Cricetulus griseus: one gene and its partner. Each later gene encodes a partner of the first gene's protein in a complex. Links are inferred from orthologs where the notes say so. Each region holds a gene or a part of one and is shown in the gene's direction. Other genes may lie near its edges.

Evidence for each region.
Region 2: the proteins of Cdk4 (region 1) and Ccnd3 are in contact, whole or in part, in a crystal structure (PDB 7SJ3), measured with the Homo sapiens proteins. The link is inferred for Cricetulus griseus from reciprocal best matches to the Homo sapiens genes CDK4 and CCND3. Residues at the interface, in NP_000066.1 of Homo sapiens: Gly46, Gly47, Gly48, Leu49, Ile51, Thr53, Val54, Arg55, Val57, Ala58, Leu59, Arg61, Arg62, Glu64, Ala65, Phe66, Val77, Ala79, Val89, Asp129, His132, Ala133, Asn134, Cys135, Arg163, Ile164, Tyr165, Ser166, Tyr167, Gln168; in NP_001751.1 of Homo sapiens: His11, Pro13, Arg14, Ala15, Gly16, Pro17, Asp18, Arg20, Leu21, Arg26, Val27, Ser30, Leu31, Arg33, Leu34, Arg37, Tyr38, Glu74, Lys112, Leu113, Arg114, Glu115, Thr116, Pro118, Ile121, Glu122, Pro134, Arg138, Glu141, Val142.

Annotation. Positions count from the first base shown.
Region 1 is NW_023276806.1:130,632,888-130,647,450, reverse strand, and holds Cdk4 (cyclin-dependent kinase 4), read left to right. Parts: upstream 1-3,443; 5' UTR 3,444-3,601; intron 3,602-4,056; 5' UTR 4,057-4,076; coding exon 4,077-4,294; intron 4,295-4,438; coding exon 4,439-4,574; intron 4,575-4,680; coding exon 4,681-4,848; intron 4,849-5,000; coding exon 5,001-5,110; intron 5,111-5,636; coding exon 5,637-5,687; intron 5,688-6,001; coding exon 6,002-6,137; intron 6,138-6,616; coding exon 6,617-6,709; 3' UTR 6,710-6,980; downstream 6,981-14,563. Other genes in the region: Tspan31 (tetraspanin-31), read right to left, coding at 7,772-7,846, 7,934-8,047, 8,280-8,411, 8,721-8,801, 9,468-9,635, 10,222-10,284.
Region 2 is NW_023276806.1:256,935,394-256,949,973, forward strand, and holds Ccnd3 (G1/S-specific cyclin-D3), read left to right. Parts: upstream 1-6,837; 5' UTR 6,838-7,025; coding exon 7,026-7,223; intron 7,224-8,097; coding exon 8,098-8,313; intron 8,314-10,720; coding exon 10,721-10,880; intron 10,881-11,523; coding exon 11,524-11,660; intron 11,661-12,047; coding exon 12,048-12,215; 3' UTR 12,216-13,145; downstream 13,146-14,580. UniProt on the Homo sapiens protein: Regulatory component of the cyclin D3-CDK4 (DC) complex that phosphorylates and inhibits members of the retinoblastoma (RB) protein family including RB1 and regulates the cell-cycle during G(1)/S transition.

The DNA of each region.
Region 1 (14,563 bases):
ATGGGAAGTGGTGGCGAAGGCAGTCGTGTTTCTGCAAAATGTCCAAGTGCTTTGGGTGGACGGATGAATGAAGGAGGGGGCGGGGAGTCTGTGAGTTAAGCAGACAAAGAAGATAGTTTTTCCTGTCAGGACAGCAAACTGCAGTGTGCTCCTATGAGAGGCACAGAAGCAGGTAATACCTGTACTGGGAAGACCAAACCAACCAAACAAACAAACAAACAAAAAAACAAAAATAAATAAATAAAGCCGGTCACTGATGGCCTCTAATCCCAGCCGTCAGGAGGCAGAGGCAGGAGATCTGGGTGAGTTCAAGGCCAGCCTGCTCCACAAAGGAAGTTCCAGTGCAGCCAGGGCTACACAGTGAGACCCTCCCTGTCTCAGGGGAAAAAAGCAAAACAAAACAAAAAACAAAACAGTGTTGCAAGTTTAATAAGCTCACAGACACTTAGCCTTTCAGAAAGCTAAAAACCCCAAACAGCCCTAGGAATGTAGCCAATAGAACACCCACTTCTCCAGCCCCTTAGCCAATTTAGGCCCTGATCTTTTTCTTACAGTCTCCTTGACAGCAAGAAGCAGCAGAGCAGCAGAAGAGGAAATCTGGCTAGGCAGTGGTGGTGCATGACTTTAATTCCAGCACTCAGGAGGCAGAGGCAGGTGGATCTCTGTGAGTTCGAGACCAGACTGGTCTATAAGAGCTAGTTCCAGGACAGTCTCCAAAGCCACAGAGAAAACCTGTCTTGAAAAAAAAAAAAAAAAAAAAAAGAGGAAATCAGCCCGATATGCCTTCCATTTTGTCCTTGATTATGATTTATGTTAATCTTGAGTTTATAGAGTTGACATTCGTGTGTGTGTGTGTGTGTGTGTGTGTGTGTGTGTGTGTGTGTGTGTACATATACATCCACTCCCCACACCCCTCTCAGACAAAGTTTGATTGTCCCAGCTAACATGGAACTTACTAAATAGATCAGGCTGGCCCTCCACCTGCCTCTGCCTCCCAATCCCCTCCTGGGATTAAAAACGTGTGCCACCATGCCCCACCACTGTTACATTCTCAACCAGAAAAGAAAGAAATTAGAATGGAGGACAAGGTGAACCAGGTCATAAAATGTTTTCAGGCTGGGTGTGGTGGCTCAGGTCTGGAATCCAAGCACTTTGATTCAAAGCAAAGTCTTTGAAGTCTTCAAACTAAGCCAGCCTGAGCTACATGGCAAGACACAGAGGAGGAGGACGAGGAGGAATAAGGAAAGAAATTGATTGTGATGCATGCCACTATCTTTAGTACTGGGGAGATGGAGCAGTAAGATCAAGCATTCAAACATTTGAAGCTACCCTAGCTACATGTCTATTTTTTTAAACTTTTTATTTTATGTGCATTGGTGTAAGGATGCCAGATCCCCTGGAACTGGAGTTACAGACAGGTATGAGCTGCCATGTGGGTGCTGGGAACAGAACCCGGGTCCTCTAGAAGAACAGCCAGTGCTCTTAACCACTGAGCCATCTCTCCAGCCACTTACATGTCTATTTCAAAGCCAACCTGAGCTATATGAGACCTTATCTCATCAAAACAAAATTACACACACAGAGCCAGAGCCAGAGTAGTTGTTCATGTCTGTAGAAACAGCATTTAGAAAGCTAAGGCCCTTCAACTATACTGTCTCAAATATGATTTCAGAGTTTAGTGTTTGGGAACATAGCACAGGAATTGAACGAAGAAAACACTGACTCCAATCCCTGGCTTCAAAAACCAATTTTATTTTTTTAAAAGACTTATCATGTACATAGTGTTTTGCCTGTGAGTATGTCTGCAGGCCAGAAGAGGGCACCAGATTTCATTACAGATACTTGTGAGCCACCATGTGGTTGCTGGGAATTGAACTCAGGATCTTTGGAAGCCAAGGCAGTATTAACCACTGAGCCCCACCAATCTTACTTTATTTTGAGACAGGATTTCTCTGGGTAGCCTTGGTTATCCTGGAACTAGCTCTGTAGACAAAGCAGGCCTCAAAGTCACAGAGATCATGATGCCTGCTTCTGCCTATCCCGTGCTGGGATTAAAGGTGTGAGCCATTGCCACCTGGCTAAAAAACAATTTTAAAACAGCTCTAGATTTTAGAGTTTCTCACAGATGGGTACATGGTCTTTTATTCCCCAAATGGTGGGAGACAACAAAGGAGTTGGAGCCCACAACACAACGAATGCCAAATCTACCTGTCTACCTAGATTTCTGTGGGCACAGACCACTTGGGAAATGCCCATAAGGGCAAGAGTAGCTCTAAGAAAGCTGCATTAGAAATAAAAAGGAATGTGACACCAATGATGAGTTGCATGTTTGCAGAGGGACACAAGACGTTCTCGGGCAACATGGTGGTCTGAAGTGGTGTTGGTGACCGCCCTTGTACACGCTCACCGTTTTGTCTGTTCATATGCACAATTACATACATATGTAACACAATACAGAATCTTAGTGTTAAGAGCCTTTTAAGATCAGGCACCCTGTTGGGCCGTAGTGGTGCACGCCTTTAATCTCAGAATCCCAGCACTTGGGAGACAGAGGCAGGCAGATCTGTGTAAGTTCGAGGTCAGCCTGGTCTACAGAGAGAAACCCTGTCTCGAAAAAAAACAAAACAACAGAGTTTCCAATAACTCCTTGCTGCTTTTAATATTCCCAGGGAGGTTTGCAAGTTGGAAGAGGGGAGGGCATTACGTTGCCACTCTTCCCATACAGTGACTGAGTATATTAATCCTGCTGTCCATCTTTTAGCCCTAGTTTCCTTCTTGGATAGGAATCGTACTCCCTGTTTCATAAGGGGCCACACTTGCCTACATTAGATACCCTCATCATTACTTCAGAGGGCGAATGGCTGAGACACCAAAACAAAAACATCACATACCAACTGGAAAGGAGCCCTTAGTAAAATTTTTGTTGAATGAATGAGTAAAACGAAGGCACAGTATACGAATGCTCCTTCCCCATGGCGCTGGAGTGAAAAATGTGACAGTCCCATCTCTGGTACCAGGATCTCCCACTAGCACCCGGACCTCCCCGCCCACGTCCAGACAAGGAGTGAGACGGAGAGATGCGCACAGGCTCGGCCTTGAGCCCAGAGTTGAGAGCCGGCTGGCCCGGTTGCCATGGCACCGCCTGGTGCTCCACCCTCCCTCGCCCCCACACACCCCCTCGGCAGTCAGGGACTGGCGGCGGGTCACGTGGTAGGCGGCGTAGCCACGCCTCTGCTTCCCAGCGCAGAGCTGAGGGGTCACGTGGGATAGCAACAGGTCACGTGCCCGAGCGAGTTTCGCCCCCCCCATCCCAGGTCATCCACTGCGCATGCATGGATGGATGGATGGATGGATGGAGACCACGTGTCCGCCGCGAACGTCCGGCGTTCGCCCCCCCCCCCCGGTTTCCGCGCGCCTCCCTGGCTGCTGGTCACATGGGGAGGGTGGGGGTGAGGGGGGCCTCTCTAGCTCGCGGCCCGTGTCTATGGTCTGGCCCGTAGCGTCCAGCTGCCCGGGACCGATCCCCGGTGTATGGCGCCGCAGGAACCGGCTCCCGGGCCCAGATAAAGGGCCACCTCCGCAGCTCTTGGCCGGGCGAGAGGTGAGTGCAGCCGCTTGCAGGGATGGGGCCCGGCGCCCCGCCACCACCCTATGGATCCCCTCGTTGTGGAAGGATGGCCCAAGGGCGGGAAGCGGGGCCTTTGTGGTCGCGGCCAGCGTGTGATTTTAGGGAATAAAGTGTGCAACCTTCGATGCCAACGCCGTGCATTGTGATGGTCTTCTTTGTGCCCGGTGCGATGTCCCGTTCTCCCCCCTCCTCCTCCCCGGGAGGAATGCATTCTTTTTCGCCCCTCCGGGACATCACGTGGCTGGAGGGCTCGGTGGGAGAGTCTTTTGTGTTACCTGAGGCGCGGCACTCTGGCAGCGTGGAGGGAGGGGATGGGCGGCTGTGTCGGTGCGGTCGTGGGCAGGAATTCCTTTGTTACTGCTGGGTCATCCCCCCTCCTAGCTGTGAAGGAAAGGAGGGCTTGGTTTTAGAAGCCTCTGTGATTGTAGGAGATCTCCCTGCTCCGAGAATGGCTACCTCCCGCTATGAACCGGTGGCTGAAATCGGTGTTGGTGCCTATGGGACGGTATACAAGGCCCGAGATCCCCACAGTGGCCACTTTGTGGCCCTCAAGAGTGTGCGAGTTCCCAACGGAGGGGGAGCTGGAGGGGGCCTTCCCATCAGCACTGTACGCGAGGTGGCCTTACTGAGGCGGTTGGAGGCCTTCGAGCACCCCAATGTTGTACGGTGAGGAGGTTGGATTGGGAGTGGGGAGGAAAGAATGGGATCTGTAAGCCAGGGGTGTGGTCGTCGGGAGTGGGACCCTAGGACTCCAGAGGCCACGTTGGAACAAAGGACATTGACCGGCTGGCGACTGTTTATTTTTGTCAGGCTAATGGATGTCTGTGCTACCTCCCGAACTGATCGAGACATCAAGGTCACTCTCGTGTTTGAGCATATAGATCAGGATCTGAGGACATACCTGGATAAAGCACCCCCACCAGGCTTGCCAGTTGAGACCATCAAGGTGAGCGGGCTGCTCGGTGAGAGGTGGATCCGGGTCTTTGTAGTAGGGACTCTTGGGGTTTTTGAGCGTGTTACATGGTGTCCGGGGCTTTCTCCTTCAAAACCAGGACCTGATGCGACAGTTTCTAAGCGGCCTGGATTTTCTTCATGCAAATTGCATTGTTCACCGAGACCTGAAACCGGAGAACATTCTGGTGACTAGTAATGGGACAGTCAAGCTGGCTGACTTTGGCCTGGCCAGAATCTACAGCTACCAGATGGCCCTCACACCTGTGGTGAGTGGAAAGATGGCAGCCCCAATGGGATTCGGCTTTAGGTAGTACTTGATTTCCCGTAGCAGCTGAGGTGTGTTGTGCTTGACGTTCTCAAAGCCCAGCAGCTATGAGCCATGAAAAGGACTCTCACTCGTTTCTCCTCTTCTGTTTAGGTTGTTACACTCTGGTACCGTGCTCCTGAAGTTCTTCTGCAGTCTACATACGCAACACCCGTGGACATGTGGAGCGTTGGCTGTATCTTTGCAGAGATGTTTCGTCGAAAGTACGGGGCTTGAAACTTTTGTTTTTTAAGACAGGGTAGCCCTGGCTGTCCTGTGACTCCCTCGGAGATCCGCCTGCCGCCACCACCTGGCTCAGGGTGTGGAACTCTTAGGTCCCTTCAGTTACACAAATCTTTTGATGTTACTTATGGTGTTAGAGGTTGAAATCAGAACTGCACATACACTGGGCAAATGCTCTATACCACTAAACTACACTCCCCGCCCCTGGGTCTTTTTACAAGACATACCCGTTCTTGACCATTTTTGTGCATATGGCACTGGACGCCCCAACCTAGGCTCTTGTATTTATCAGGCGCGTGCCCTGCCACCCAGCTATAGTCCCAACCTATCCTGTTTATGTTCACCAACTTGCCTAAAACCAGAAACGATGCAGGCAAATTTCCTGAAATGTCTAGGAATTAGGAACTTTGTGTTCCCTTATTCTCCGTCCTCTCTAATCTCAGCCACTTTGATTATCATTCCCTTATTTCTGAAATAATATATACTTGGAATATTTTTCTACCTTAGGCCTCTCTTCTGTGGAAACTCTGAAGCTGACCAGTTGGGCAAAATCTTTGAGTAAGTGTCCAATAAAGGGGAAAGAAATCCCCCCCCCCCTTTTTGTTTGTTTTTTTCGAGGCAGGGTTTCTCTGTGGCTTTGGAGGCTGTCCTGGAACTAGCTCTTGTAGACCAGGCTGGTCTACAAGATCTCAAACTCACAGAGATCCGCCTGCCTCTGCCTCCCAAGTGCTGGGATTAAAGGCATGAGTCACCACCGCCCGGCTAAAATTCCCCATTCTTAATTCAGTTTCTGCTCAATTCCAAATGGCAGTTGGCCCTGGAGATGGAAACTGGAAAAAGCCCCCCTGACCAGATTTGTGTTATCCCTACAGTCTCATTGGATTGCCCCCAGAAGATGACTGGCCTCGAGAGGTATCTCTTCCCCGAGGAGCCTTTTCCCCCAGAGGGCCGCGGCCTGTGCAGTCGGTGGTACCGGAGATGGAGGAATCTGGAGCACAGCTGCTGCTGGTAGTGGGCATGGGCCAGGGAGGTGGCTCTGTGATAAAGCTTTTAGGGCATAAGTGTAAGGACCTGAGTTTGAATCCCCAGAACTCGAGTAAAAGCTATGTGTCAGTGAGCTTCTATAGTGTCTCTTAATACCAAATGGGTGGTGGAGATAGAATTCCCTGGAAGCTCACAGGTCAGATAGTCTGGTTAATACAGCACTAACAAGAAACTCTCAAACAAGGCGGAAGGGAAGTACCGGCATTCCAGACTGTCCTAACCTGATTTCTATGTGAGCATTGCCTTGAACATGCAATGAACATAGAAGAAACAACACAGGGCCCAAGGCCATTGTGGAACCAAGTTCTAGTTAGTGGACAGGCTGTAGTTTTTCCTGTTGCTATGAGTGGCCAGCAGGGTAGGATGCAGGAAACACCTGCACAGCGTTTTGGGGTGGGCATCATCCCCCTCGGCTGGTTTCTGACCTTTGCCTCCCCTCATAGGAGATGCTGACTTTTAACCCACATAAGCGGATTTCTGCCTTCCGAGCCCTGCAGCACTCTTACCTACACAAGGAAGAGAGTGACCCAGAGTGAGAAGATTAGCTGCCTCTCCTCTCCTTGGGACACTTGAGCGACAGCGAGAACCTCAACTTGTGCCTTCCTCTGGGGCTGTGGAGACACCTCCAGTTTTTTACAGAGAATATTTTAACCCTTAAATGACATTCCCCCCTCCCTATGAGGCTTGTCCTCTTGCCCTCCCATCTCTCTCTCTCTCTACACTAAAGGGTGGGTGTCTCTGTCTTCTTCCCTCCCTGATTTATACTGGGATCTTTTTTATACAGCAAAAAAAAAAAAAAAAAAAAAAGACAAAGAAATATGGTCTTTTTTTCACCCCTTTAATGTTTTTCTGATTGGGTTTGCCTTTGGGAGATTTGAGAGCCCACTTGCAAGAGGTTTCTCTGCAACACCTGTAGGCTGTCACACAGGACTTAGGCAGTCCGGCTGTTTGGCTGACAAGATTGAAAAGGACCTTTCTATCCTTTCTCGTTTTTTTTGTTTGTTTTTGTTTTCAGTTAAAATGGCTTTAGTTTTACGTCTCTGCTTCACTCTGGGTCCTGCCTGGGTAAGACTGCTATGATAGAAACACTTGCCTATCATGTGTGAGGCCCTGGGCTGTAGCCCTGGCGCGCTCCCCACAAAAGTTGTTTCCCCTGGTATTTTCTGATTTGTCCTTGGAGCCAGGCTAGGGTGTCTAAGTGAGGGAAAACAGTTAGGAAAAGCTCCCAGCTCCCATCCATGCTTCTAGGAGTAATACTATATTCTCCCAGAAAGAGGTATTAAGTTTTTCTTTCCCTATATCTTGTTTCCATCAAAATTTGTAAAAACAAAAGTTTAACCACTTAATTAGGTTTAGTGGGTTAGGTTCTTTAAAACAAACAACATGTGTCGGGGGAGAACCACACCTAGGTTTTCAGGAGTTTAGGAGGGGAGAGCAAAAGCAAGGATCCAGAGACTTGCTGAGTGTGGTGACACACCTGTAACCCCACCACTGGGTCGCTGTGGCAGGGGGATCCAGAACTCAAGGTCATCCTTGGCTACATAGCAAGTTGGAGACCAGCCTAGGCTTCAAAGATCCTATCTGAAAGATAAGAAGTCTCATAGAAAGGCACTGGGGTTGGCTCGGGGGTCTTTTTGGTTCCGGAATCTCATTGCCAGCCAAACACCAAGGATCTGCAGGAGAGGGAGAGAGCAAAAGTTATTTTGGATCTTGGGGTTTAAGGCTTAGGGGTGTCTGTGTGAGGAAGGGGGAATCATTACCTCTGTGAAGCTAAAGAAGAGGCCAACACCACCTAGGATTTTCAGGGCTTCATCCGAATGTTTGAGGAACTTCTCCCCACACATCTGGCATGCAGAACTTCTGGTCTTGCACATCTGCCGACAAAAATATAATAAACAGAATGCAAAGCTGCTAGCCTTCCCCATCCAAATTGCCACAATGAATGTCCCCAGAAATAGCTGGTATTTGAACAGTTCCCAGACTGGAGTCCCACTTGGCTGAATCCTTACAGCCCAGTTCATGGCTCACGGCTCACACTGAGGTCACTTATTTGGGTATGGCCCTTACCCATTTCCTCTTAGATGCACTACCCATCCTTCAACTTACTGCACCACAGGAAGTATCATCTTGTAAGTACGGCATTGTAAGGTTGAACAAACCACAGCAGTCAAAACTTCTCTCCAATTCATGCCGGGTACTGTTGCTCATGACCCACCAGGACGCGTTGATGACATCCATCTAGAGCACACATACAGGCAGAGGAACATTAATGTCCCTACCCTCCACTCTCGGTTCACATGCTTCAATCGCCCTATTCTGGCAAATGCAATCAGCCTCCCACAGAAACAGGATGGCACATCATGGTCACAGACAGTGCCTAGTGTCTTTCTCAGGTTCTCTCTGACTACATCTTGGGGAGTTAACCATACATGTCAGAGGAAGCACACACCTCTGAAGTAGTGGACCCAAGGATGAAGGTGTGCAAGGATCACGTTAACAGATCTTCAAAGGTGGAGATAGCAAGCACGAAAAGCATCACCGCCTTACCTGCTTGTTTCTGTTGATAGCCAGACAAGAGCAAGAGATTGCAAACTGGAAGATGAAGACCAAGCCAAGGATGATCATGTACTGAGAAGTAGTTATGGCAAAAAAGAGATCTAGTTTCCATTTAAAATATCAGTGTGAAGGCCAGCCTGGTGTGAGGTCCAGGCTAGCCAGGGTTATGTAGCACAATCCCATTTTTTTGTGTGTTTTTAAAACCTCACCCAGTGTAATTTGTAACCGCAATGTGGCAGGCAAGGGGACAGAGTTCAAGGCCCTTCTCTGTTCCTAAAACTAGTCTTATCAAGTTGAGAAAAAAAAAAAAAAATCAACTTCTAAGCCAGGCATTGGTGTCTCATGTGTGCAGCCTGGTTTTGTGGAAACAGCTAGAGACAGCTGTGTCACCAGTGGTGTTTAGAGAAGAATCCTATCTTGTTTGTTGGGGCTGGAACACTAGCCTTCGAGTCATGGGGAATTAAAAAATAGCCACACTGCCGGCCTGTTGGTGCACGCCTTTAATCCCAGCACTCGGGAGGCAGAGGCAGGCGGATCTCTGTGAGTTCGAGGCCAGCCTGGTCTACAGAGTGAATTCCAGGACAGGCTCCAAAGCAATACAGAGAAACCCTGTCTCGAAAAAAACAAACAAAAAATCAACTTCTGTGAATTACACAGTAAGAACAGACGTGTCTGAGGTTCCCAAACCCTTTTAGGAAAAGCCTGCCCAGGGACCCCAATCACTCCAGGTCAGGATACAAAGAAGAGCAGCACTTGGTGGTGGTTAACAGCCCCCACGAGCCCAGCCACTGCAATGAGGAGAAGGAAGACTCCCACAGCAATGACTCCTCCAATGATGTGAATACTGGACACCAGACCCAGGCCCTTGCCCCAGGCAGCCACGCCAATGAGCAATAAGCCCACAAGCTGCAAGAAACAGAAAGTAGAATACATTTCAGCCTGATGTGGTGGCTCACACCTGTAATCCCTGCAAACCGCAGTACAGCAAAGTTCAGGCTAGCCTGTGCTAGCCACATAATGAGACCCTGTCATCGCCAAAGAACTCTACCATGCAGCACTGCCAAAGGCTATTACAAGGGGACGTGAACTAAGTACGGCAGGCAGCGGAGGTGTGCTTTCAGAGCTACTCATTCCTGGACGCGCTTCGCAAGTAACTGGGAATATCTGGGATAGTGGGGCAACGGCAGTAGCGTCTCAGGATACACTCCTTAGGGTTGTCCGGCGTCTCTATTTTGGGAAGAAACCGGAGCACAGGTGGAGACTGGGACTGTAGGCCCACAGTCCTCGATTCACCCCTCCCCACCACCACACAAGCCCCCTCATTACCGGAAGTCTCTCCTCTTCCACGGAAGTACCCAGGAATTCCCTCTTCGCCGGAAGTTTCTGGAAAGCTTCCCAGAACCCCCAGTAAACCCCTCTCCCCACCGGAAGTCCCCTAGAAATTCTCCCTATTCTGTCCGCCCCAGAGCTTTCCCCACTCCCAAAACCTCACCATATAAACCACGTTGAGAGCGCACAGCGCATTCTTGGAACAGGCAAATCCGCCGCAAACCATCTCCCCAGTTCTGGGGACCCAAATGGCCCCAAGGACTTGAGGGGAGGGTATCGGGGACTGCCTTGTAGGACTCCAACAGCTTCTATCGCTTTAAATCCAAGCCAGCCAAACCAATTCTCTGCGCCTGCACCGTCCCACCCCTGCCTCTGGATTGGCGAAACTCGTGGCTAATCCAGGACATCCAGAATTTCAGTGCCAATCAATCTACATTACGTCACCAGCCCGCCTCCTAGTCCTTCCCTCGGTTTTTTCATTGGACGAAACTTAAAAAAAAAAGAAGAAGAAGAAGACAGGGTTTCTAGACAGTTTCTTAGGGACCAGAGCCTAAACTTCAAAGCCTGTGCTCCCTGCGGCGACTCTAGGAGTCCGAGGAGAGACTTGGGGGACTCAGGTGAACAGAAAAGGAGGGGCTTGTAGAGGGGGGAGGAAGGGGCTCCGCCCTTCCAAGAATAACCCTTCCCGCTGGCTCCCCCATGTTTCAGGACGATGCCATCGTTTTGTTGGTCGTGCGTCATACTCTGGAACACTAAGAGGAACCAAATATTGAACTATGTAGCCCAGCTAGGGAGGATCCAAGTCAGACATAGCAACTGCCGGCAAATCCCCACGCATTTGTTTTTTTCTTTTTCTTTTTTTTTTTTTTTTCGAGACAGCTTTACTCTGTAGCTTTGGAACCTGTCCTGGAACTCGCTCTGTAGACCAGGCTGGCCTCGAACTCACAGAGATCCACCTGCTTCGGCCTCCCGAGTGCTGGGATTAAAAGCGTCCACCACCACTGCCTAGCATTTGTTAAATGTGTCTACTAGTACGCATGTTCTGTTCTGCATTCCTTCCTCTGCAGTGTGAACATGCCAGAAATTCGAGTGGAAACAGTGACTTGAGGCCGGTTCATTCCTGTTTGTCACAAAACCACAGGCGCAGACACTGGTGTACATCTTTACAATACATACGTACCTGATGCTGGGCTGGCTCAAAATAATACAAGGTGTGAGGGCAGGACTGGACTATGAATAAATGAAGACTATCCATGCTTTCTTTTTTAAATTTATTTATTTTTACTTTACGTGCATTGGCATTTTGCCTGCATGTCTGTGCAAGGGAGTTGGATCCCTTGGGAACTGGAGTTGCCGACAGTTGTGAGCTGTCACGTGGGTGCTGGAATTGAACCCCGGTCCTGTGGAAGAACAGACAGCACTCTTAACCCCTGAGCCATCTCTCCAGCCCCGACTCTTCATATTCTCACTCCAAGGGGGGGAATAATGGGTGGCTAGCCAACAATGCTATTACATAAGCATCTGGACATAGTGCCCTTTGAATAGGAGTGAGAAATGGTGCAACCCTTCCCTTCCTCCTGGACAAAGAAGTGACCTTGGTGGGAACAAATGAAAAAAAAAAAAAAAAACACCTCCCCATCAACTCCACACGGTGATTGGAGTCTATGTATGCTCACATCATGTGACCTGCCTACAGTCTAGTCTTGTGCTGGAGTCAAAGTAAACCAGTTTTTTACTTTATGACTTAGTATCTGTATGGGCCAGGCACTTATTAAGGCCTCTGCACCTACTTCTTCATCCATAAAATGGGGATAGATAATAATGCATCCACCTCTAATGATACTTCCCTAACAACTTCTGTTCTGTTGTGAGCACCAAATGAGCGAGGATCTATAAAATGTCTGAGTTAATACCCAGTACCTAGCAACACTCAGTTAACAACTGTTTAGTCCAGGGGGCTGGAGAGATGGCTCAGAGGTTAAGAACACTGACTGCTCTCCCAGAGGTCCTCCTGAGTTCAATTCCCAGCAACCACATGGTGGCTCACAACCACCTATAATAAGATCTGGTGTCCTCTTCTGGCCTGCAGGTATACATGCAGGCCAAACATTGTATACATAATAAATAAAATCTTAAACAAAAGAAACAACTGTTTAGCCCATTTTTATGGAGTCCAATAAATAATCCAAACTCAACCCCTTGATCTCTGAATATAAAGACATTCACACACTTACTTTTCCTAAACCATCCTCAAGAAAATATGCATGATAGTCTAGAGAGTTGGCTCCAAGGTTAAGAGCACTGAGTTCAGTTCCCAGAACCCACATGGTGGCTCACAACCATCCATAGCTCCAGTTCCAGGGGACCCAATACTTTCTTCTTACCTATGGAGGCACCAGGCACGCACAAGTCACACATACATATGTTCAGGCAAAACACTCATACACAGAAAATAAATAAATTTTTGAATGAAATAAATACTGGCTGGGGGGCTGGAGAGATGGCTCAGTGGTTAAGAGCACTGACTGTTCTTCCAGAGGTCCTGAGTTCAATTACCAGCAACCACATGGTGGCTCACAATCACCTTGAATGAGATCTGGTGCCCTCTGTTGGCACGCAGGCAGAAGACATAATAAATAAATAAAATCTTAAATAAATAAATAAATAAATAAATACTGGCTGGTCCATAATGGTGCACACCTTTATGTCCCAGTACTCAGGAGGCTTTACATAGTCAGGCGTTGGTGGTGTACACCTTTAATCCCAGCACTCGGGAGGCAGAGGCAGGCGGATCTCTGTGATTTTGAAGTCAGCCTGGTCTACAGAGCGAGTTCCAGGACAGGCTCCAAAGCCACAGAGAAACCCTGTCTCGGAAAAAAAAAATTAAAAGAAGCTATACAAAAGAAAATAATTTGCTATCTCCATATAGGTTCAATCTGTCTTTGAAACAAAATAATTAGGTCAAAGCTAGGGAGATAGGCTGGGGATGAAGAAACCTAGGAGACAGGCTCAGAATAAAGTACTCGCTGTACAAGTGTGAAGGCCAGAATTTGTATCCCAGGGTGTCCACAAAGGCCAGGCAGGCATGGCTGCTGCCAGTAACTCTGGCACTCTGGAGGCGGAGACAAGGGGTCTTCAGAGCAAACTGGCTAGGTTAGCCTGTCAGAAAGTTCTAGACTTGCTGGGAGACCCTGCCTCAATGAATATAGTGGAGAGCAATCAAGGAAGACACACAACCTCAACCTTGGATCAACCCACACAAAGGCACATATGTCGATGCACACCCAAACGCACACGCTGTGATGAGTAGTTTTACCTGTGTTGACAGGGTTTAGAATCATCTGAGAAGAGAGGCTCAGGGAAAGATTTTTGTCTACATGGGGTTGGATTGTGGGTATGTCTCTTTGGGGGGGGGTCTCTTAATTCAGTTAATTGATAAGAAAAGAACCAGTCCACTGTGGGCGGCCCCATTCCCTAGGAAATCATGAATTGTATAATTCATGATTAGGAGGTAGGCTGGGCATTGGTGGCACATGCCTTTAATCCCAGCACTCAGGAGACAGAGGCAAGAGGATCTCTGTGAGTTCGAGGCCAGCCTGGTCTCCAGAGCGAGCGCCAGGATAGGCTCCAAAGCCACACAGAGAAACCCCCTGTCTCGAAAAACCAAAAAAAAAAAAAAAAGAGTGGAGGAAGCAGGATGGTGGTGGCACATGCCTTTAATCCCAGCACTCGGGAGGCAGAGGCAGTCGGATCTCTGTTGAGTTCGAGACTAGCCTGATCTACAAGAGCTAGTTCCAGAATAGCCTCCAAGGCCACAGAGAAACCCTGTCTTGAAAAACCAAAAAAAAAAAAAAAAAAAAAAAGGGAGGTAGACAGCTGAACACAAACAAACAAGTGAATATATGACATTCCTACAGCAATGGGCTACAGTGCAGAACTATAAACAGAAATAAACACATGCTGACTAAGTTGGGTTTTTTTTTTTTTTGCCACGGAATTGTATCACAGTAAAAGAAATGAAGCCAGAACACACAGGAATACATACACCTGTGCATACCACGCACACATATACATGCCAAAAAAATAATTGAGGTAACTACCATTACTTACGACACCCCCCACCAACTTGCTTTACCTCCATTTTCTCTTTCAATTCCTCGTTCTTCTTCTATATCGAGTCATGAGTCAAGAGCAGAACAATGGTGCTGAGGAACTGGCTGGAAAGTATATCAGTTTCGTGTCTGTTAAATTAAAAGTACAATTGGATCTTTGTTCACCTGTTATGGGCCTTTCTGAGCAATGGTTTGCACTTCTACATAATAGTGATAAATTATCCTACCCTTTGGGCTTGTCCTTAATATACATGAAAGTCTGTTGTAAATGATTAAATGTTATACACATGCTAATTATTATAATAGAAACTGTACTTGGAGCACATAGTTTTATCTGGCTATAGGTTACTTTCCTCCCCTATAGTCCATTCTTCACATAACTACTTGAGTCTT
Region 2 (14,580 bases), about 130 Mb from region 1:
GCTGTTTAGACTAGGCTAACTAGCCAGGAAGCTGCACCTGTCCTTATTTCTGTCCCATCTGTCCCATGCTGGGTTATAGGCGCCTGCAACTGTGTCCAGCATTTATGTGGGCCAATCAGGTTGTCTTGATTTCTCAACAAGTGCTTTTAATTAATTAGTTTATAGCCTCCCTCCCTCCCACCCTCTCTCTTTCTTTCTGTCTTTCTTTCTTTCTTTCTTTCTTTCTTTCTTTCTTTCTTTCTTTCTTCCTTTCTTTCTTCTCTTTTGTTTATCTCAAGACAGCGTCTTACTATAAATAGCTCTGCCTGTCCTGAACTCACTATATAGATCAGGCTGTCCTGGAACTCAAAGAGATCTGCCCGCCTCTGCCTCCTGAGTGCTGGGATTAAAGGCGTGTGCCACCAACGCCCGGCTAACATTGATATTTTTACTTTTTAAAAAAATTACATTCTTGCAGTGTGGTGGCAGCGGCAAACGCCTAAGAGGCATCAGGAGTCCTATCTCTGTAAGTTCGAGGCCAGCCTGATCTACAGAGCGAGTCCCAGGCCATGCTCCAAAACAATACAGAGAAACCCTGTCTCGAAAAAAATAAAAATTAAAACAAAGCAAAACGAAACAAAAACAACAGCAACAAAAATTACTTTCTGGCCAGGCATGGATGGCTTTAATCTCAGCACTCTGGAAACACAGGAGAGTGAATCAAGTTCAAGGCCAGCCTAGTCTACAGAGTGAGCTCCAGGCCAGTCAGGAATACATAGTGAAACCCTGTCTCAAAAATGAGTAAACAAACTATGCCCATATTGTTCTTAGGACACACATTCAGAATATGACATGTAACATAATATTAAAACAACAAGACAAAACCACACAAGAATGTTTTCTCCCACTTGATTATCACCCAACTTCCAGGAAGGTTTCCCTATTGATGAAGAAACTCTTGGAGCAGGCGTTGGTGGCGCATGCCTTTAGTCCCAGCACTTGGGTGGCATAGGCAGGCAGATCTCTGTGAGTTCGAGGTCAGCCTGGTCTCCAGAGCGAGTGCCAGGATAGGCTCCAAAGCTACACAGAGAAACCCTGTCTTTGAAAAACCAAAACCAAAAAAAAAAAAAAAAAAAAAAAAAAAAAAAAAAAAAAAAAAAAAAAAAAAAATCAATGTTACCAAAAGCTTCTGGAGTGTTGCCCTTTTGTAATTCTAGAGTCTTTTTGCTATGAAAATCTCTAAAGTATCTGTCATTGAACTTTGTGCATAGTCACTCCCCCAATCCCCACCCTGTCACCCTCCCAAGGTCTCCGTGCTTTCTTCTGTTTTTTTTTTTCCTTTTCCCTTCCCTTCCCTCCCTCCCTCCCTCCCTCCCTCCCTCCCTCCCTCCCTCCCTCCCTCCCTCCCTCCCTCTATCTCTTCGAGATAGGGATTCTTTCTTTCCTTTTTTTTGTTTTTTTGTTTTTTTGAGACAGGGTTTCTCTGTGTAGCTTTGGAGCCTATCCTGGCACTCGCTCTGGAGACCAGGCTGGCCTCGAACCCACAGAGATTCCCCTGCCTTTGCCTCCCGAGTGCGAGATAGGGTTTCATGTAGTCCAGTCTGCCTTCAAACTCACTAAATAGCTGAAGATGATCTTGATCTTAAAACAAAATTAGCTTTTTATTTGTGAGTAAGTGTTCATGCATATGTGAGTGTTCATGTGCCCGTGGAAGCCAGAAACATTGGACCCCCGTGAAGCTTGGTTCTGAGAACCAAACTCTGGTCCACAAGAACTTTTTCTTGTTTGTTTGTTTTGAGACAGGGTTTCTCTGTGTATCTCTGGCTGTCCTGGAACTCACTCGGTAGACCAGGCTGGCCTCAAACTCACAGAGACCCGCCTGCCTCTGCCTCCCAAGTGCTGGATTAAAAGCGTGCGACACCAACGCCCGGCCAGAAACAACTTTTTTTTTGAAGAATTAGGAGAACAGGGTAGCCCAGACTGGCCTTGAACCTACAGCAATCCTTCTGCCTCAGACTCAGGAGTGCTAGGATTATAGATGTGGACCACCATGGTGAGTTTAGAAACTACTGTCTTTGCATGTTCTCTTTGCCCCAGATGTGTGCAAGATACTTTTAGCCCTTTGGTCTTCAGAAAACCCCTCTAGGGTAAGGACCTTTGTTATTACCCAACTGGAGGAAAAGAGAAGCAGACAGAAGAGGACAGTCTTTCCTCAGAGTCATGGGTGTGCACCCAGAGTTTGAACTGAGTGCAGCCTTTGTCCACCTTCCTGTTTGGGGTGGTGTCCCTTCATCTTAGCCTATACCTGGTTCTCTCCTTGTCAGTTCAGTGATCTGAAGTAACTGTGAGATGATTGGCCTCGCCTGTCACCTGGTTGCCCCTTCTGGGTCTCAAATGGAGACATTCCTATGATAAAGAGGTGAGGGAGTGGGAGGAGGAAGGAGGCTTGGTGTCCCTCTTCCTTGGGGCTTTGCCTCTGGCCTGTGACTTTTCATTCCAGCTCTCCACTAATTTGCCATTTCATTGAGTAACTTTTTGTAATTGGATGCACCTGGCCTGAAGCGCTTCCATTTACTTCCCCTGGTCATCTGCCTTCTTATCTGTTCTTTCTTTGAGACAAGCGTCTCCGTCTCCCATAGCCCAGGGTAGGTTTGTACTTTGGATCTTCCTGCTTCTGCCTCCTGAGTGCTGAGATTACCAGTGTGAACCAGTATACCTGAGTGCTGAGATTACCAGTGTGTGCAGTATACCTGAGTGCTGAGATTACCAGCGTGTGCAGTACACCTGAGTGCCGAGATTACCGAGTGCGCCACTGCACCTGGGTTTGCTCCATCATTTCTTCCTTTTACCTAGTGTTGGGAATTGAATTTAGGGCTTCAATCATATAAATCAAACACTCTACCCACTGAGTACATCCCCAGTCCTTGCTTTGTTGCTTGGTCTTCTTAGCTCTACCTTCGAAGAGCAGTGATGGTGAAGCACACCGGTGCACCTCTCAGGAGTTCTCGGAGGAGCAATGTGCTCCTTCAGCAGCCGTCCTTCATGTAGCTGGCTAGCTCCTTAGCCCTGAAGACCCCAGACAGAGGGGCTCTTGAAGACAAAGCCACTTCTAGAACTCAGCTGTCTCTGGGCGCCCTTCCTTTCTCTGTTAAGAGACCAACAAGGGATAAGTCAATATACACTCATGGGACAGCACAAGAGACAAGTGGATGAGGTGGTCAAGAGCTGGGGTGGGACAACCTCCACTGCTAAGCCTCCCCCATTTCCTAACTCAAGCGTGTTTAACTTTTTCTTTCCCCTTATTCTCTTCTCCAAATTCCTAAGCATGTTTGTCCTGGTGCTCTGGGATTCCCCCCAACCCCCACTTTTTTTTTTTTTTCTCTGATTTCTCCCATTCCATTTCTACAGATGCTTACAGATCTCCTCTGTTGCTGGTCCTGACTAAAAAAGCATGACTTTCTCTCTTCTTCAATCTATCTCCCTCTTCCTGGCAGCTACCTTCCTTGTTTTTGTTTTCAAACTCTAATACTTTAAAGTAAATGGAACCCGGGGGTTAGAGATGTAGCTCAGTGGTAGAGCATACCTGCCTAGCATGCACCAACTGCCCGGCTTTGAACCCCAGCATCTCTCTCTCCTGTTCTCCCTCCTGACCCCCTCCCCTGCTGCAAGGGCTTGAGCTCAGGAGCTAGACTGGACTGCAGCCTGCCTCCATCACTCGATAGCTGTGTGACCTCTCAATGGTTACTTAGTCACTCAATCTGAGTATTAGCACCCCAGCCCCCATTAAAAGGGGCAAAATAGCCAGGAGGTGGTGGTGAACCCCTTTAATCCCCTCATTCAGAAGGCAGAGGCAGGTGGATCTCGTAGTTCAGGGCCAGCCTTGTCAACAGAGTGAGTTCCAGGACAGCCAAGGCTACAGAGAGAACCCCCCCCCCCAAAGGGAATGGGTAAAATAATATACTTCCCGTAAGGTTGTTGTGTAGACGAGATGATTTATTACATCTCAGGTATGTTTGGTTCTGGAATATAGTACAATTACATGAAGACCTGTTTCTGTTGTTGGTGTTACAGGGAGGTGGTGTATCCCTCTAACATGCAGCCATACAGGACTTTGTCTTTGTCCTTAAGGACAGGAAGTTTGGTGGTGCATGCCTGTAATCCCAGGATTTGAATGGAGCAGGCAGCAGGATTGTTGCAAGATGGAGGCTCTTCATAGGCCAGTGCTACATAGCAGGGCCTGTCAAAACAAAACAAAACAAAACAAAACAAAACAAAAAACTAACAGGTGCATGCAATTGGAAGGTAATGGCAGATCAAATCCAGCCTCGATTATAGAGTAAATTCAAAGCCAGCCTGGGTAACTAAGACCTTGTTTCAGAAAGTGCCCGCTTATTTATTAATAAATAAATTATTAAAATAAATAATTTATTTATTTTATGTGCATTGGTGTTTTGCTGTATGCATGTCTGTGTGAGGCTGTCAGATCTTGGAGTTACAGACAGTTGTGAGCTGCCATGTGGGTGCTGGAAATTGAACCCAGGTCCTCTGGAAGAGCAGCCAGTGCCCTTAACTGCTGAGCCATCATCCTCCAGCCCCCCGCTTCCCAGTTTTTAAAGTGTACAGTTTGCAATAAAGCATGGTGGTACACACTTGGAAAACAGACGAGGAGTGGGAAAGTTCAAGGTGGATGTGGGGCTGTATGGTCAGACAAGGAAACCACTCAACAAAGAAACCCCTGGAGAGGTGACCTTCTGTGAGCTAATCCCATTATGCCTCATTTGTCCAGGAGAGGATGCAGTGGTGGATACTGAACCCTTGCTTGGTGCCCAGCAGGCAGATGACCTCATGCATATCCATTGTCTTCTCTGTGCTGAAGCTCACTTGGGCTGAGGTGACAGCAGTCCCTCAGGGGTCAGTCCCTGTCTTCTTTCTTTCCCTCCTTTTCTCTTTCTCCTTTCCTTCCTTCTTTTCTTCTATTTTTGTTTTTGAGATAGTCTCACTGTGTAGCTCTGGCTGGCCTAGAACTCTTTACTTAGACCGGGATGGCTTTGAACTCACAGAAATCTACCTGCCTCTCTCTGTCTCCAAAGTGCTGGCATTAAAGGTGTGTGCCACCATACTACACCCCAGCCTTTCTTCTTTCTTTCTTTCTTCCTTCTCCTCCTCCTCCTCCTCTTCCTCCTCCATCTCCTCCATCTCCTTCATCTTCTTCATCTTCCAGGCTCTGGCTGGCCTGGAATTGTCCACAGGCCTCCTCCCTCCTCCCGAGTGTTTGATCTCAGGCATGTGCCATCATGTCCAACTCTGCAATATGATGTTTTTTTGTTTTTAGTTTTGTTCTAGTCCAGGCTGGTCTGGAAATTTACTGTAGTTTTCTCAACCTTTGAAGTTCTAGTATTATTTCCATAAGCAGCCACTATATTATTATTATTTGGTTTGGTTGTTTTTGTTACTGAGATAGGATCTTATATAGCCCTGGCTGGCACTGAACTCATTAGGTAGCCAAAAATAACCTGGGACTTTATTTATTTATTTATTTATTTATTTTTAGTTTTTCCAGACAGGGTTTCTCTGTGTAGCTCTGGCTCTCTTGGAACTCATAGACCAGGCTGGCCTCAAACTCAGAGATCTGCCTGCTTCTGTCTCCTGAGTGCTGGGATTAAAGTTGTTTTCCATCACTGATTTGTGACCTTGAATTTTTGATCCTCCTGTTTCCACCTCCCAAGTGCTGGTCTTACAGGTGTAGGACAACATTCCAGGTTCTACAGTGCTGGTTATTGAACCCTGAGCTTTGAGCATGCTAAACAGGCACTCTACCAACTGGATATATATCCTCAGCTTCTCTCTCTCTCTCTCTCTCTCTCTCTCTCTCTCTCTCTCTCTCTCTCTCTCTCTTTTCTCTCCCTCTCTGTCTGTCTGTCTCTCTCTTGCCCCCCCCCCCTCCCCTGCCCCATGGGTTGGGGAACTCATTCTGTAGACCAGGCTGGCCTGGAACTCAGAGATCTGCCTGCCTCTGTCTCTTTAGTGCTGGGATTAAAGGCGTGCACCATCACCGTGGGGCTTTTAATATGCTGATTTCGACAAACACCACCTATACTTAAGTTGTTCCACGAATCTGGAAACAGTGCAGTGTCCCGTTCAGCGGACCCTGAGAAACTGCATTTGTTCATTTGCTTTTTCATTTTTATAATTTGTGTGTGTGCGTGCGCGTGCATACCGGGTGGTGTGTGGTGTGGTGGTATGTTACAGCGTTAGTGTGGAAGTCAGAGGACACCTTATGGGAGTTGATTCTTTTCTTCCACCGTGTGGGTCACAGGGATCACACTCAGGTTGTCAGCCTTGGTGACATGACCCTTTCTTTACCTTCCTGCTCAGCTGCCAGATGGTGCTGCAGCAAGTCTGTGGAATTCATTTAAGTAGACAAAATTCTGGAGCCGGGTTTCCCTGGACTGACAGTGAGGTCTCTTCAACTACCACTGTGCTTCAGTTTGGTGGTCTGCAAAATAAAGACCTGGAATGCACCTTGAGGTAGGAGCGACCCAGATATGCAGCTATTAACATTCCCTGGAGCAGTGAAGTAGGGTGCAAACGTGAATGAATGGATAACTTTGGGCGAGTAATTCTTTCCTGGGTGGCTAGAGTCAAGACGGCCCATTGATGGGGAAGAGGGCACCCTCCCAGAAAGTTCTCTCCACCGTCTTGGTCAGGAGGGCCCCGAGGGCCCGGAAGCCTGCAGAAGCCGGCGCCCCGCGGACCAATGGGCTGCGGGGAAGGAGGGGATTACGCCCGCCAGCCCTTTCCGTCTGCGGCCCCGCCCCCTTGGAACGTTGTGACGTCGGAGCATTCCACGGTTGCTACATCGTCGCGAGGGGCGGGGCGCCTGTCAGGGAAGCGGTGCGCGCGGGTGGCGGGCGGGCTGGGGCTTCTCCGTACAGTGCCAGCGCCAGCGCCAGACCCGCCCGCACCCCGCGCTCTCCCTCGTGCGCGTCGCGTCTCCAAGGACTCGCCAGCCCGCACTCCTGCTCTCGCCCGTGAGCCGCCTCAGGATGGAGCTGCTGTGTTGCGAGGGCACCCGGCACGCGCCCCGGGCCGGGCCCGACCCGAGGCTGCTGGGGGACCAGCGTGTCCTGCAGAGCTTGCTCCGCCTGGAGGAGCGCTACGTGCCGCGAGCCTCCTACTTCCAGTGCGTGCAAAAGGAGATCAAGCCGCACATGCGGAAGATGCTGGCGTACTGGATGCTGGAGGTAAGGCCCGGACCGGTCCCCTCTCCTCACCCTACCCCCACCTCCGGCTCTGGGCAAATCCAAGTTGCCCTGTCGGGGCATCATGAATCGGACCACAGTCTTCAAGATGCTTTGGCGGCCCCGACTTGAGGGGCCTGGCCTTTTCACACAGGCATCCACCCTAGCCAGCTGCCTGCGTTCTGTCCCCTTCCTTTCCCCAATCCCGATCGGCTTCTTCTGAGACTGCCAGTCACTTGGCACTGTAACTAAACTTCACTTCAGGTCGGGAAAGCGGGCTAAGGGCCACTATTTCCCCTCTGGCTTCTCTCGGTGTCTCCTGCTTCCTTCCTCGCCTGTAGTTCTCCGAGAGCGTGCTTGGAAAAGTCTGGGGCTCGACCGACCGCCTTAGCCCTAGAACTGGTTCCTGTGTCTGTCGCGGGGTTCTGGCGGGGGAAGCTGGTGGGGGTGGCGCGCGCTCGGTTCCGGTCCACAGGGAAATGAAAAGTGCGGGAGACCGCGGCAGGAGTTCCCTCCCTTCCCCTTGGGAGTGTGTGTGCAGTGGGTGGTGGTAATGAGGGTAAGGTCCCAATTCTCTCTAGGCGACCCTTCCGTCCCCCTTCCGCTCGCCGTGGGGGAGGGGAGTCTGGAATCCCTCGTGAGCAAGGGCTTCTCTCCTTTACACCCCCACCACTCAGGGGTGGGGAGGAGGCCAGGCAAAGGAAGTGGGGGGGTCACCTTGGGGAGGGCGCATCCTCCTCGGTTATTGATTCTTGTCACTGTAAGTTTATCCCGTCTCTGTTTATTTTTTGCTCCACATTCCACTCTCCCTCCACCCCCCATGCTGCTGCGTTTCACTTGGTCCTTCCCTAGCAATGACTCGTGCGCCATCCCTCAGGTGTGTGAGGAGCAGCGCTGCGAGGAGGATGTCTTCCCTCTGGCCATGAACTACCTGGATCGCTACCTGTCTTGCGTCCCCACCCGAAAGGCGCAATTGCAGCTCCTCGGTACTGTTTGCCTGTTGCTGGCCTCTAAGCTGCGCGAAACCACGCCCCTGACTATTGAGAAGCTTTGCATCTATACGGACCAAGCTGTGGCTCCTTGGCAGTTGCGGGTGCGTGTGGAATCCCCCTCTGTGGCGCCCCCCCCCCCGCTCTCAAATACTGTCGCCCTATGTACTAGAAAAGAGAACTCCAAGCTCAGTCCCTCACTCACCAACCCTCCCCTCGCCCTAGGCCAGTATTTTGGAAAAGAACTGGGGTGGGACAAAGGCCATGTAGTGTGGTAGTTGTGCTTTAGTTGCAGGCTTAAAACCAAATGAACCCCCTTCCTCTGACCATAGTGGGGTTACCCCAGATAGCAACCAGTCCAGTTGCTGGTCTATACACCAGTACTTTGCCTCTGGGTTTACACAGCCACCATGAGTTATTTATTGGCAGCAGCAGGGCATGTCTGCACACCCCCACCGGAGTGGAATGTGCTTCACGTGGGGGAGGGGGCTGCCTTGCATGAGTCTTTATCCCCGTGTGGACTTTGTGATGGAAAAGCCTCCCAGAGCTGATTAAAGCCAGGCCCTGATTGCTGGAAGGAAGTGCTGAGGTGTTTTCATCCCTTTCCCTTCTATTCCCAAAGACAGAGCCCCTTCCCTACCCACCCTTCCTTGTCTTCTGAAAAAACGAGAGCAGCTGCCCTGGGCCGGTGGAAGGGTTTCTCCCTTTGCCTCTTAGCCAAAGGCCGAAGAGACAGGGAGCCGAGCTGCAGCTGCTTCGATGTGATAATGATGCTGGTCCCCTTGCCCTCCCACTCAGACCAAGGGCTTTCATAACCCTGTGGGGAGCTGCTGTCACTCCTGTGGTTTGGGAAGTGGCTCCTTGGGGTCTCTTGCTGGGAACATGGGCTGGGCTCCTCCAGGCGGGGCAAAAATCGGTTGGGTTTTGCCCTGCCCCGAGGAGTCTAGGGAGGAGGTGGAGGAACTGCTTGAATCTGGAATAGAGCTTGAACATCATCTCCCACAGGGTCTGGGGGAGAGGGTGGGTGAGCTGGCACCTCCCTCCACCTTATTCTGTGGCTAGCCAAGCCTTCCCTGACCCTGAAAGGAGTCTCTGGGCCCCATCTCCTAGGGAGGAGGGCAGCAGGCAGGCTAATGTGATTGGCTGGCTGGGAAGCTAGGGTACTGGGGCCCCTGACTGCCTTGAGTCGGGGAACTGGATTCCTCTCCCTGTCAAGCAGCTGATGGGAGGCCTGAGTTGGGAATCAGGGAGGCCCCACAGCTCTTTGTGATGAATCTGGTAGTTTCCACAGCCAGGGAGCAAGATGTTTTCGAGGGATTGAGGCAGGGAGGTAGGAGACTTCCTCTTTGTGCAGAGATTAGGGTGGTCTACATTAGTGTGTGTGTGAGGGGAGGTTTTCAGAATAGGCAAGCCTTCTCCTAGAGGCCTGCGCTGAGTGGCCTGCGGTCAGAGCTGTAAGGGACCTCTAAGAACTCCAGCAGTCTAAACCCTTGCATCGCAGGGCCCGAGAAAGGAGGGGAAATTCCAACTGTATGGCACTGACCAGAACGCCTTAAAGCCAGGGATGAGCAGTATGCAGCCAACCATGGTGTTCGGGAGGTGGGGCTGGGATTCTCATGTTGTCTGGATATCGGGGAGGGTGGCCACCTTCCCTCAGTGAGGACCCCACACAGTCTGGTTGCCTCTTGCTTCCTTGGAGGCTGGATGCTGTTGGTTACCAGGGCAAGCCTCTGTGCCTTACTTCTGGCTCTGGCCCAGGCTTTTTCTGTAGGCTCTTCTAAGTACCCTGGGGCTGACACCTAGGTCGTGGGACAGAGAGAGGGACAGCTGTTGCTGGGGTCCTGGAAGAGGTTGGGTGGGGCTGACATTTGTACCTCATTGAGGAGTCAAACCCATGAGTTCCTTCCTGAGATAAAACAATGAAGAAATCCTCATGTGTGCAACTCGGAAATGCAACTCAGGCCAGGACTTGGAAACCCAGACAAATGAGCTGGGGTTGGGGCTCCTAGACTACTACTATGACCTCTTATTGGTTATGTAGGCTTGGGCAGATGCCTCAGGGGCTATCTGGATTCATCCTGTTTGGCTTGGCCTCCGTGTCTTGAGACAGGACCCACCCCTGGTGTCCCACAAAAGGGGTGTGGGTGGGGTTGGGTAATCTCCCCTTTGAGGAACCTCAGGAGTGCCTCATGTTCATTCTGTCTCTTTAAGAGACCAGGCTGAGATGCAGGGCCAGGGAGGGACAGGCTAATGACTGTGGCTCCCCTTCTGAAGTCCTTGCAGTTTAGTCTTTCTGCTTCAACTGATGCTGGCCTCACATTCATGGGAAGACTAAGAGGGATGTCATGCCATTCTAGTACCCAGTAATGATGAATAGATGCTCAAGAAAATGCCCTGAATTCATCATTCCAAGGTGCTAACTCCTGCAGCCAGAAGTAGAACTGTAAATCTTCTGCCATATCCTGACCTGTTTTGCCAGCCACTGACTCCATGCTCATCCCCTTTCTCCAGGAATGGGAGGTGCTGGTCCTGGGGAAGCTCAAGTGGGACCTGGCTGCTGTGATTGCACACGATTTCCTGGCTCTGATTCTGCACCGCCTTTCTCTGCCCAGTGACCGACAGTCCTTGGTCAAAAAGCATGCCCAGACCTTTTTGGCCCTCTGTGCTACAGGTAAGAACCTTGGACACGGGGTTTTCCAGTTTGGGAAAAACCATGATTTGAAGGCTAAATAGTAATCAGGAGATTGTTTCCATACTCAGAACTATTCATATAGGATCTTTTTTTTTTTTTTAAGATTTTATTTATTATGTATACAACATTCTGCTTCCATGTATATCTGCACACCAGAAGAGGGCACCAGGTCTCATAACGGATGGTTTTGAGCCACCATGTGGTTGCTGGGAATTGAACTCAGGACCTCTGGAAGAGCAGTCAGTGCTCTTAACCTCTGAGCCCCTCATATAGGATCTTGGTGATCCTGGGATGGAGGTATGAGGCACTGACTAGCCTGAGGCCCCCACCCTAGGGGTTTGGGTATTCTCTAGTTCCTGACCAGGTCCAGCCTGGGTGGAAGGAAATTTTGCTGTTCTCAGATCTCAGAAGGTTGGGTGGGGTATAGTGGTTCAGTGATTTTGTGCATGCCTCAGTCAGATGCCAGCACCATGGACACACACACCAAACACTCCCATTGTCCCTGAGTCACCCCACCCACCACTGGGGGTTCCCAGTATGCTGCATCCATGCAACCTGGCATGCTGTAACAGGAAACAGAGGTATAAGATGACTCTTCTCATGGCTCCCTTTCTTTTACAAGATTACACCTTTGCAATGTACCCTCCATCCATGATCGCTACAGGCAGCATTGGGGCTGCAGTTCAAGGCCTAGGAGCCAGCTCTATGTCTGCAGATGAGCTTACAGAGTTGCTGGCAGGAATCACAGGCACGGAAGTGGTAAGTCTCAGGCCCCATTCACAAAAAGCAGTGTTATCCCTCAAATCCCCAGAAGAGGGCAGCATCCACCCCCAACTCCAGTTGTACAATTTTGCCTGCTTCTGTGGCCTTTTATCTCCTGCCTCTGGAGAGGATCAGGTGGGATGAAGGACACACATGTAGCTGCCCCTCTCTTGCCAGTGGTATGCTGCACCAAGGGGTGGGAGACTTGGTGTCAGATGCAGGGCTGCTCTCACACCCTTGCCACATCCTCTTGCCAGTTTCTGAGAACTGAGACCCAATTCCTGGGCTGGGTTGTGGCCTAACCTCCCCAGACTTCCCGATGTGCAGGGGGGTGGCCTTTCCCTTGCACCTGCCTGTTGTTACTGACCTTGTTGTTCTTCCTAGGACTGCCTGCGAGCCTGTCAGGAGCAGATCGAAGCTGCCCTCCGGGAGAGCCTCAGGGAAGCTGCCCAGACTGCCCCCAGCCCAGTGCCCAAAGCCCCCCGGGGCTCTAGCAGCCAGGGGCCCAGTCAGACCAGCACTCCCACAGATGTCACAGCCATCCACCTGTAGCTTGGGACAGGCCCCCTCAGGTGGCCACCAAGCAGAGGAGGGGCCACTGCCACCCCTTCCCTTCCTCTAGGAACAATCCATGCTATATCGGAAGCCCGATGGGGGGTCCTCCTTCCCCTCACAAAGCCCAAGGGGCCAGGTCCTGCCTATCCCCACAGTTGTGCACTAAGGTGCTGGTTGGCCATGAGGGCTCTGCATGGCCAGTCAGCTCCTCCTCCTTCCCACCTGACCAGCTCAGCTGTTCTGGGCCATGCTGGTCAGAGAAATCCAAACAGGTAAAGTCCATGCACCAGCATTCCTTGTGAGTCCCTCCTCTCTGGGGCTCTAATTTTCTCAATTGCCAAAACGCCCCAGTTCCTTCCAAAGGTGTTGCCCCTCCTAGGGTCAGTGCATTTGGATTCGGGTCCTTCAAGCATCCTGATAACCGTGCATGAGGTACCAAATAGATGGCTGCTGTGTAATCCATGCTCCCAGCTGCTCTTGGAGGGAACAGCCTAGGCCTTGGTCAGAGGGGCAAGAACCTACCAATTCTTGCTTTGCTTCCTGCTTAGCTTCTGTGATTGAGGGCTCTTTGAGGGGTGCTGATGGTCATTTTAATTTATTGCTTTGAATACAACTGTAAGAGGGTACAGTGAGGCCTGTACCCCACAAGCGGTGGTAACCCTGGTGGTTGCTGTTTCCCTCCCCTCTGCTACCGCTTTGTGGTCCAGGAGCTGCTACAGCCTGGGATGGGGCCGTGCCTTCCTCTCCTGAGGCCCTGTACCTCGTCTTCCAGCAGAGGGTTTGAGTAAGGATGGATGCTGTGGAGGACAGAGCCTATCTGGAGAGGTCCAAGCCCTATTGACACAGGTCTTTCCTTAGGCCACAAGGTTTGGGCTGGTGGCCCATTTCTATCATGCTGCCTTAATAAAGATTCCGGAATAAAACTTGCTTTGGCTCTTGAAGTACCTGGGGCTGTGTGTAGAAGCAGGGAGGCACAAGTCAGCTGTCTCAGGTAGGGAACATTTCTTCTTAAAGGCAATGTGGCCCACTTTACCGATGCACTTCTACAAGTTATGGTTTAAGGAGTGATCACCATGCCCCAGAGGGCTCATGGGAAAACAGGTCTGGACAGTTTTATGTAAAACAAGAATTTTGCTGTACTCTGGCATGGTGGCCTATTCCTGTAATCTTTGGTGGCACTCACAGGGCAGAGGAAGTTGTTTTAGTCTACCCTGTGCTACATGGCAAAATCTTGCTTCAAAACCCACACGGGGACCGCACTAGTGGCCCAGTAGCTGAGAGTATGGGCTACTCCTGAGAGCTATGATTTGACCACAACCATCAGTAACTCTAGTCTCAGGATCTGATGCCATGCAGGCACAATGCTCATGTACATTAAAAAACAAGAGATGGATGGGGTAGGAATGTGTCTGGAAATACTTTCTCTGGTTCCCATCTGCAGTACTGCAGAGAGGCAAACTGGTAGAGACGTGGCCATTTGGCTTGGCTGAGCGAGGTGTACTTTTCTCTGTCATTTACCTCCTGTTTCCAAGATGAACTAAAAGTGTAAGCAAATGCGAATGCCTCAACAGATTGAAACTGTTTGCAGATACATGAACTGGATTGTAACAGGCGTACTTTTTCAAAAGCAAAAGTGATGTAGCAGAATGACTTGGGAGTTGTCAGCTGTGATGCACATGGCTGGGACATGGATGTGCCCCCCTACCCCGAGATAGGGTTAGTTAGACCTGTATAGTCTGTATACTTAGTCCTGGTTGGTCTCAAACTTAGAGATCCATGCCTGGCTGCAACTAAAATTTCATACACATTTTAAGCCATTAGAAAAAGATTGTTCATCAGCTATACAAATAGGCACTTGACCTTGGTTTGTTAACCAGTCTAAAACTCTTGTTCAGAATGCAAGGAAGAAACCTACTGGACTACTGAGTTTGCTGGTCTCCCAGAAAGAGGGATGCTCCTGCAGCAGTCTCCACTGAGAGCAATATGGCGACTACGATCTTTCCAGCAGAACATCAGTAGAAGCTGGTGTTCCAGCAAAATAGCCCATGAACATGTCATTGGTAGGGAGTGTGTGTGCACCGCACACACACCCACACACTTCCTCTTTGTGGAGAGGAAGGGGAGTCTAGACAGACAGTTGTGAGGAACAGGGTAGGTGAAAGAACCATGAACGACTCTCACCTCTAGCCACAGGGGAGGCAGGAACCTCCAGGGACTGACTGGACCAAAACACAGAGCTTCAATAAATAACTGACTCTGTTTTATCCACACCCCAGTGAACTGACACAGTAACTGGAGAGAGCAGCCCTCATACCAAGTACCGGCTGGGTTGAGGGAGTGCTGACATCAGGTAACTCCAGTT